2 linked regions of the Oryctolagus cuniculus genome follow. The protein of the gene in region 1 purifies or fractionates together with the protein of each later gene. This does not show direct contact. Links are inferred from orthologs where the notes say so. Each region holds a gene or a part of one and is shown in the gene's direction. Other genes may lie near its edges. The genes, in order: CASP10 and FASLG.

Evidence for each region.
Region 2: the proteins of CASP10 (region 1) and FASLG purify together in Homo sapiens (co-immunoprecipitation; 3 studies listed by BioGRID and IntAct, with this or other methods). This does not show direct contact. The link is inferred for Oryctolagus cuniculus from reciprocal best matches to the Homo sapiens genes CASP10 and FASLG.

Annotation. Positions count from the first base shown.
Region 1 is NC_091434.1:38,828,592-38,832,835, reverse strand, and holds the start of CASP10 (caspase-10), read left to right. Parts: upstream 1-1,194; 5' UTR 1,195-1,501; intron 1,502-3,514; 5' UTR 3,515-3,521; coding exon 3,522-3,859; intron 3,860-4,244. UniProt on the Homo sapiens protein: Involved in the activation cascade of caspases responsible for apoptosis execution. Recruited to both Fas- and TNFR-1 receptors in a FADD dependent manner. May participate in the granzyme B apoptotic pathways.
Region 2 is NC_091438.1:1,340,204-1,344,737, forward strand, and holds the start of FASLG (tumor necrosis factor ligand superfamily member 6), read left to right. Parts: upstream 1-1,502; 5' UTR 1,503-1,909; coding exon 1,910-2,269; intron 2,270-2,827; coding exon 2,828-2,876; intron 2,877-4,534. UniProt on the Homo sapiens protein: Cytokine that binds to TNFRSF6/FAS, a receptor that transduces the apoptotic signal into cells. Involved in cytotoxic T-cell-mediated apoptosis, natural killer cell-mediated apoptosis and in T-cell development.

The DNA of each region.
Region 1 (4,244 bases):
TTTGAAAGAGAGAGAGACAGAGACAGAGAGAGAGAGATTCTCCACCTGCTGGTTTACTCTAAATGGCCACAACAGCCAGGAACCACCTCTTGGTCTCCCACTCAGGTGCAGGGTCCTAAGCACTTGGGCCATCTTCTACAGCCTTCCCAGGCCGTTAGCAGGAAGCAGAGTCAGAAGCAGAATAGTCAGGAGTTGAACTGGCGCTGGATGTGGGATATCAGTGTCTCATGCAGGGCCTTAACCCCCATGGGCCACACGCCGGCCCCAGGACTTGTCTTTCTCAGACATAGTAGTTTTCTGGATGGTGGATATGGAAATGATGCTTTCACATATTTACTAATTAATGCATCATTTCCCAGGCTTCTTTCTAGAGATAAAACACCTTTTTACAGATTCTGTACATCTTCCCAAAACTCTGCATTTTTTTAAGATTTTTTTTTTTAATTGGAAGGTAGAGTTACAGAGGCGGATCTTCCATCTACTGGTTCATTGCCCATTTGGCTGTAATGGCAGGAATGGGGCTGACCTGAAGCCAGGAACCAGAAGCTTCTTCTGGGTTTCCCACGTGGGTGCCGGGAGCTGGATCAGAAGTGGTGCCACCTGCAGCATCCACATCCCACTTGGGAACCAGTTTGAGTCCCAGCTGCTCCACTTCCGACCCGGCTCCCTGCTAATGCACTTGAGAAAGCAGTAGAAGATGGCCCAGGTGCTCGGGCTCCTGTCACTCATGTGGGAGACCGGGCTGAAGCTACTGGCTACTGGCTACTGGCTCAGCTCTGGCCGCTGCAGTCTCTTGGGGGAGTGACCCAGCCAATGGACTATCTCTCTCTTTCTAGCTCTGCCTTTCAAATAAATAAACAAATCTTAAAAAAAGAAATAATATCTTTCAAACCTCTCTCTCCACTGGACTGAGTGTGTTGGCAGAGCAGACACCTGCCAGACTTGTTTGCCTTGCAGATATCTCCAAGTGGACTTAGAGTCTGCCATTCTCACTCCCAGAAATTTTATTTCTTGATTTGCACATAGACTTCAGAGAGGATTAAGATGACTGAAGAGTATCTCATGAGCCTTTTGGTTTGATTTACGGGTTACATGAGTTTGGAGGAAAGGGTTAAAAATAGTGACACGTTCCCTTCTTTGGGCACAGCGGCGCCCAGCGGTGGCAGCACTTAGTGGCCTCTTGAGAAACATCCCGAGCTTTACAATGGGAAAGGCAGGTGACTGCCTTTAGGGGAGCGCTGTTTGCCAGGGTTATTTTAACCCGGGGGGCGGGGAGAAAGCAGAGAGGCAGTGATGACATCAGCAGGAAATTCATACCAAGTTACCCAGTGCAAATGATTCAGTCTTCAGTGGCACAGCCGGGATCTCTTCCCCCGCCGATGGGGCGTCTGGTGACCACGGAGCACACCGAGAATTCTGACTTCTTGCCGGCTTCGTTTTCAGGCTGTTTCCCTGCGCACCACTGACCTTCAGAGGATTAGTGGAACTTGAACGGAAGCAGGTATGTAAACCTCCACCCCACCGCACTGGGGGCTCCCACTCTGAACTTCCCTTTGCCTCCTGTCCTTAGCAACTCGCCCAAACTCTTGACCGCAATGGCACGATCTGGGCGCCGGGTCCTCGGACATGCAGGGAAAATGAAAGTTCATTGAAATCAACTAAAACACCAGGAAGTTTCTAATCCAGCCCTTTACCTGAAGGGATATGTTGATCCACAGGCAGGGACAAAATCTCGTAGATTCACTAAAGTTGGAGATCAGGAACTTTAAGCAACTGCAAAGCAACCGGGTAAGACCGAGAGAGGAAGGCAGCTATCAGAAACCAATCATCTCACCTCAGGGCTGTTAGAAGAGAGGACTCCCAGGATGATCACACTGGAAGAGACTCTGTGTGTGTGTGTGTGTTTGCTTTATTTAACAACAGAAGTAATATATGTGCATTGCCTGAAGTTTGAGAAAGTCAGGTGGGAGCCTAGAAAGTTTCTGTTATCTCTGGGTCCCTCCATATAACCGCCTTTTGTGGCTGAGGTTTTGGGTTTTGCTTTGCTCTCCTTCCCTTAGCAAGTATTTTTTTTCTGTTTCTGAAAGCAGTCAAGTCCGGCATGGTGAATAGATGCCCCCATCCTTTCAGAATGACTACTGTGGTGGAAACTTAATCAATGCGTTGCTCCTCTGCTTAGAATGAAGTTTAGTACAGAGAACTCCAGAGTTGACAAACTGGCCAGGTAGACACCTTGCTTAGGTAATGTGTAACTTTCTACACTGATTCGAGCAGGTCTGGTCTAAAATCAGCTTTTCCTTTTGGGGTTTAGGGTTACAGCTTCCTCTTCTATGAGACAGGCCTGTCCTGTTACAGTTAGCAGTCGGGAGTTAGGTTGTAACAAATACTGTCATGCACTCGCTTTATGTCTAACGCTTAAAGCACAGATCCTTTGGGCTGTGTCTGCCATTTTGTGGAAATGAATTTTGAAGTGAAGAGCTCCAACGAGGCTGGAGGCCTGAGAGATGCCCTTGGCCATGTCTCACTGGGGACACTTTGATTTAAAAGAAATCAGGGCCGGCACTGCGGCTCACTAGGCTAATCCTCCACCTTGCGGTGCTGGCACACCAGGTTCTAGTCCCGGTCGGGGCACCGGATTCTGTCCCGGTTGCCCCTCTTCCAGGCCAGCTCTCTGCTGTGGCCAGGGAGTGCAGTGGAGGATGGCCCAAGTGCTTGGGCCCTGCACCCCATGGGAGACCAGGAGAAGCACCTGGCTCCTGCCTTCGGACCAGCGCGGTGCGCTGGCCTCAGCGCGCTGGCCGCAGCGGCCATTGGAGGGTGAACCAATGGCAAAGGAAGACCTTTCTCTCTGTCTCTCTCTCTCTCACTGTCCACTCTGCCTGTCAAAAAATTAAAAAAAAAAAATCAGGGTATGGGGGCTGGTGTTGGTGGTGTAGCAGCTAAAGCCACCGCCTGCAATGCGGGCCTCCCATACGGGTGTTGGTTCATGTCCCAGTTGCTCCACTTTAAATCCAGCTCCCTGGGAATGGCCTGGGAAAACAGTGGAAGATGGCCCAAGTGCTTGGGCTCCTGTACCCACATGGGAGACCCAGATGAAGCTCCTGGGTCCTGGCTTTGGCCTAGCCCAGTCCTGGCTATTATGGCCATCTAGGGGAGTGAACCAGTGAATAGAAGATTCATTCTCTCTCTCTCTCTCTCTCTCTCTCTCTCTCTCTCTCTCTCTCAATTCTGGCCTTGAAATAAATAAATAAAACTGAAAAAGAAGAAATCAGAGTATATTGAGTTCTAAATAACAACTCCCTGTAAGCCTTCTAGGGGAACTTGCAAGTGCCAGGGGCCAGTTTTCTGGGATGCTGGTTCTTGAAGCAGCCTCACAGTGAGTTTTCCTTCTCAGCACTTCTGGGAAAGCCTAATGCCTGGAACAGAAGCGGCCAGGATTGAGGGAGGGGCCAGGAAGTCAGGGTGCCCTGTGTCCTCACTCCTGAACCTCCTGCTCCGTCTCTGTCTCTTTCAGGCCAGCCATGGCATCTGGAGATCAAAGCTTGGGTTCCAGTTCAGATGAGGAAAACTTTCGTAGGATACTTTTTACGATCGATTCGCACCTGGGGGGCCAGGAAGTGGAGAGCCTGAAGTTTCTTTGCCTGGACTTGGTCTCCAAAAAGAAGCTGGAGAAGTGTAGCTCCGCCTTGGATATTTTTGAACTCCTCTTGACGTACAAGCTGCTGCAAGAAGAGGACCCTTTCGTCCTGGCAGAACTCCTCTACATCACCAAGCAGATCAAACTGCTGCAGCACCTCAGGTACACCAAAGAGGAAGTGGAGCGTTTGCTGCCCGAGAGAAGGAAGGTGCCCCTGTTCAGGTGAGCTGGGACTAAGACCGCCTGGGAGGAGGGGTTTCTGTCTCATGTTCGGTCTAGCCATTGGGCTTTGTTTCGGCTGTGAAAGGTCTGTTTATTTATTTATTTGAAAGTCAGATATTTGAAAGTCAGAGGGAGGGAGGGTAGGAGGGGGAGAGAGAGAGAGAGAGAGAGAGAGAGAGAGAGATCTTCTATCCACTGGTTTACTCCCCAAATGCCCGCTAAGATCTAGGGCTGGACCACGCTGAAGCCAGGAGCCAGGAACTTCATCTGGGTCTCTGATATGAGGTGGGAGGGTAGGAGGGACCCAAGTGCATGGGTCATCCGTTGCCTCCCCAGGCACGTTAGCCAAGTAGTTGGTTCTCCCACCCGCACTCCACTGGGAATG
Region 2 (4,534 bases), on another chromosome or scaffold:
TGGCTCCTGACACAAGGCACCAAATGTAAGGAAAAGGGGGCCACAGAACAGAGAGGAGACAGGGTACAAACTCGCAGCCAGACCAAATTTATTCAGAGAAAATAAACTCACAGAGGTTGACAAACTGCCATCAAGCTCACAGATGGAACACGTGGCAGAAGCCCAGACCCTAGCAGGCTGGGCCTGTTTATAACTTAGGTGGGCTGGGGTGGGGCTGGGGGCAGTAGGCCGAGGTGAGTTTCTCCCTATTGGTTCTTCAGGTTTGGCCCACTGGCTTCCAAACCTGGGGAAGAATGCGGGGGGGGGGGGGGGGGGGGGGGACAATACAGGGAAGGAGACTGAACTCCTCTCTTGAAAGAAGACAGGGTAACAAGAACCTAAAGTGGCTGAGGCTCCTGTCCTTGTTGCATCAGTTCCTGTCACCATATGGTAGACTTGGATTGAGTTCCCAACTCCTGACTTCAGCCATGCCCAGTCCCAGCTATTGTAGGCACTTGGGAGTGAATCTGGAAGATGAAAACTTCCTCTTTCTCTCTCTCTCTCTCCCTCCTTCCCCACTCTCTGATGCAATACAATTTTGAAATTCATTAATAGAGTTTTCATTGTACACATTTTCCATGAACTTCTTGAAAACCCCTTGTACATTTGGTATTGACGTGGTCCACGTGAGAGAGCCAGAACGACAGTCACAGAAATCTCACAGTGTGATGTAGAAACTAATGAAACTGAAAAGTAGACATCTTCAAAAGAACAGAAATTGAAGATTTGTGGAAATTTTATACAGTTTTTATGGGAGAATGATTAAGAGTGAGGCTGAGTACTTGGAAGTTATTGGCATATTAATGGTATTTGAGACCAAAAGAAAGGGTGAGGTCATAGCCCAGGCACAGTTGCCATCTTTAGCAAAAAACAAAGTTAAAAAAAGGACACCCTTTAAAATTTGAATTTCAGATAAACAATGAATAACATTTTAGTACAACTCTTGCATTGTTTAGGACATACATACCCTGAAGCTTATTTGTTGATCTGAAATTCAAGCAATTCTAGTAAACATAACAGCAGCTATGAACAGGGCTGCCTACAGGGGCCAGAAAGCCATTTCACAGGTGAGGTGGTGTGGGAAACACAGTACAGGGTGGAGGGACCTTGGGGGTGGAGGTTGGGCTACCTGGTCACCTGTGTCTCATTCCTGGGGACACTTGCTCCTCACCTCCAGCTGACTGAATTTGTGGAGATGGCCTTAAAAATATTTACAACAGAATGAAAATAGGTATTTTAATGTGGACTGTCTTGATTTTACAAATGAGAAACAAATCATCAAGAAGTAAAAACAGAGCTAGGCTGTGAGATCCACAAAGCATATCTGATCTAATCTCTAGAGTGGGCGGGGCAGGGTCTAATCTGTAAATTATGGTGATTTGCAGGGTTCGGGTAAACAGTGCTTGGTGTGGGGAAGGGATGCGGGAGGGGGATGATTTCCTCTTGCAAGTGACTCCAGTCTCCCCGCTCAGCGCCACTCTCCCTGCGCCAGCACTGCGCCCAGTGCTGCCCTGCTCTGCAGGCCCGAGGAAGGCGGTCACGGCTCCCTGCCTTTTCAGGTAGCGCAGCCACGGCAGCTGTGGCTCCGGGGGCTTTCATCAGAAAGTTGTGGGCGGAAACTTCCAGGGGTTGGCTCTGAGCTTCTTGAGGCTTCTCAGCTGCAGATATAAGGTGAGTGGGTGTCTCTCTGAGAACTAGCAAGAGAAGATGAGAGAGAGAGAGAGATTGATTGGTGTTTCCCTTGGTGTGGAAACTCTATAAAGCGAGAGCTGGCTGTTCCTCTCTTAACAGTGAGCAGCAGGAGTTCCTTCTTCGACATTGCAGCCTCCACAGGACTGAGAAGTAAAATCCTTGGGAGTCCCTGGCTGCCATGCAGCAGCCCTTCAGTTATCCATATCCCCAAATCTACTGGGTGGACAGCACTGCCAGCTCTCCCTGGGCCCCTCCAGGGTCAGTTCTCCCCTGTCCATCCTCTGTACCTGAAAGGCCTGGTCAAAGAAGGCCACCACCACCACTGCCACCGCCGCCGCCACCGCTACCACCACCACCACTGCCCCCGCTGCCCCCACTGCCCCCGCTGCCCCCACCACCCCTGAAGAAGAGGAAGGACCACAGCACAGGCCTCTGCCTCCTTCTGATGTTTTTCATGGTCCTGGTGGCCCTGGTTGGATTGGGGCTGGGGATGTTCCAGCTCTACCACCTGCAGAAGGAGTTGGCCGAGCTCAGAGAGGTAAGCTGTGTCCAGCAATCACTGGGGTGGGAGGAGGGCTCTGCTGCTGTGGGATGGAGCCTCCTGGGGTCTACCCGGACCACTGTCTTGCTTGCAAAGTGCTTTTCAAGCTTTACTGTTTGTCTTGGAAAGGGATTGTTCTTGTCGTTCTATTCTATAGGTAGAGAAATGGAGGGTCCTATGAATGAAGAGGTATTTTCTGTCTTGTAAAGAATTTGAGCCATATGGTTTTGCCTTTTTCAGTTGTCATGTCAGTCTGTGAAGCCACTGACCTCAGATCTAGTGATTCAAGAAATAAAAAAAAAACTTTGAGTCTGCTTAGAAGTGAATGTATTCAAATGACCAGACTGAATTTCCTTGAAAACATTTTAAAAAATCTGGTACCATTTCAAATGACAAAACTGAGGGACAATGAGACAAACTTGTTTGGCTAAAGTCTGAGTTAGGAAAGGTTCTGAGGAGTTTGGAATCTCTTTCGGGGGCTGGCTTATTTGGCAATTCCTCCACTGATTAAAGAGCTTCCTATTTATCATACATCTTTTCTCTTTCTTCCGGTAGTCCTTCAGTCAAAGGCACACAGCATCATCATCTATGGAGAAGCAAACAGGTGAGTCCTTTTATTCATGTGATTTGAATTTCCAAAGATAATCCTTAGCACTGAACATTGTTGGGGGGATACCTTGAATCCTATCCCATTCCTGGGCTTGTGAATATTATGAGAAGAGTCTTGGACAATTCTGAACCCCTGGTCAGTGTGGTTTCTTGAGCATCTTTTAAAATATGAAGTGAATTTCACTGCTCAAAATCAGTGTAGCTGAGTGTTTCACACAATGCAAAATACTTTTGACTTGACTTTGGGATGAGACACACATACATAATCCTGGAGCCCTGCCATTTGGGCAGCTGGTTGCAGGCCCATCTCCTTCCTCAGGAGTCCTAGTTAGGTATGGGCAAAGAGAGAAACTTCTGGGAAATGTCCTCTCCTCTTCTCAACTCCAGAAAAGAGATCACTCAAGAGTCAAGCTTCATTTAAGACATTGTACAAGATTTAGCTAAGCTTTTGATAAGTGGACAATTTCCCACATAGCATGGTTCCTTTGAAGTCATGGGGAGGCCTGGGAGAAGATTTAACCCATATTCAAAGGATTATTCCACTTTACCTATGAGATGTTTTTGACAATAAAGGAAAGTCCTTTGTATGAAATCCAGTACAAGAAAAAGGTAAAAGTGTTGAATTCTGGCTTCATTAAATTTCAGAGCATAGATTTAGACACTGTGGACAAGTATATTTTAGGATTTGCTCCATTTGTATTAAACCAAGATTAATTGACTTTTTAAACTTGGTTAGAACTGAGAGGGATCTTAAAGATCATCAGTTCCACCCATTTCATTTCTCAGAAGAGAAACAAAACATCAGACAGATTGGGTGATGTGCCCATGACTACTGGGTGGCGCTGGGGCTAGAAGGGATGTAGGCTCCTGCTGCCTTGGCACTTCCAGGACTTTCTAGCATGTGGACTGGTGCCTCATGGAAAGACAGAAACTCTTGCTTGACTGTAATTGCCAGGGGATGAGAAAGAAATGGAAAGCAGGACACTTCTGCAAAATCAGTAGGTAATTTTTTTCCTTAGAAATGTGGAAGAAGAGAGCAGGCAGGGCTAGCCATCCATTAAGTGCTGCCAGTTTCAATCTCAGGATAGCCTACTGCAGGTGGCCCAGGTCAGCGACTTCCCTGGAGCATAAACTCATGTAGGAGCCATCACTGAGATGCTCTGGCCCCTTGTTCTGATGTGGTAGAAACTCAGGAGGGGCACAGAGTGGAAACACTTTTTAGAAAAACGCAGCCTCTGGAGGACTTCTAATGTCACTTTGAAAATCAGGGGACTGTGGCTAGGGAAACAGGTACCTCATTACTCATCTCTCACCCACTCTCTGGAGGCGTTTTATTGGTTAAAAGTTAAATGAACAGATGAGTCAGGTCTACCTACCCCACTAAACTCTTATCTTCTCTGCATCAACCCAGACAGATCAGAAATTAGGGAATTATCAAATTAGCAACTACTAATTATCAAGTTTACAACTTTACTAATAAGAGATGCCAGTTATAAAAAAGATACTTATTTTCATGCATCCATTTAATAAACATTAAAAAGAGTAAAAATCCAGACTACCAAAGCTGTGATAGGAAAGTGTCCCTTTAAGCATTAGTTTGAGCTAGTGTGAATACAAATTGACCTAACTTTTCTGAAGAATAGTTTGGAAATA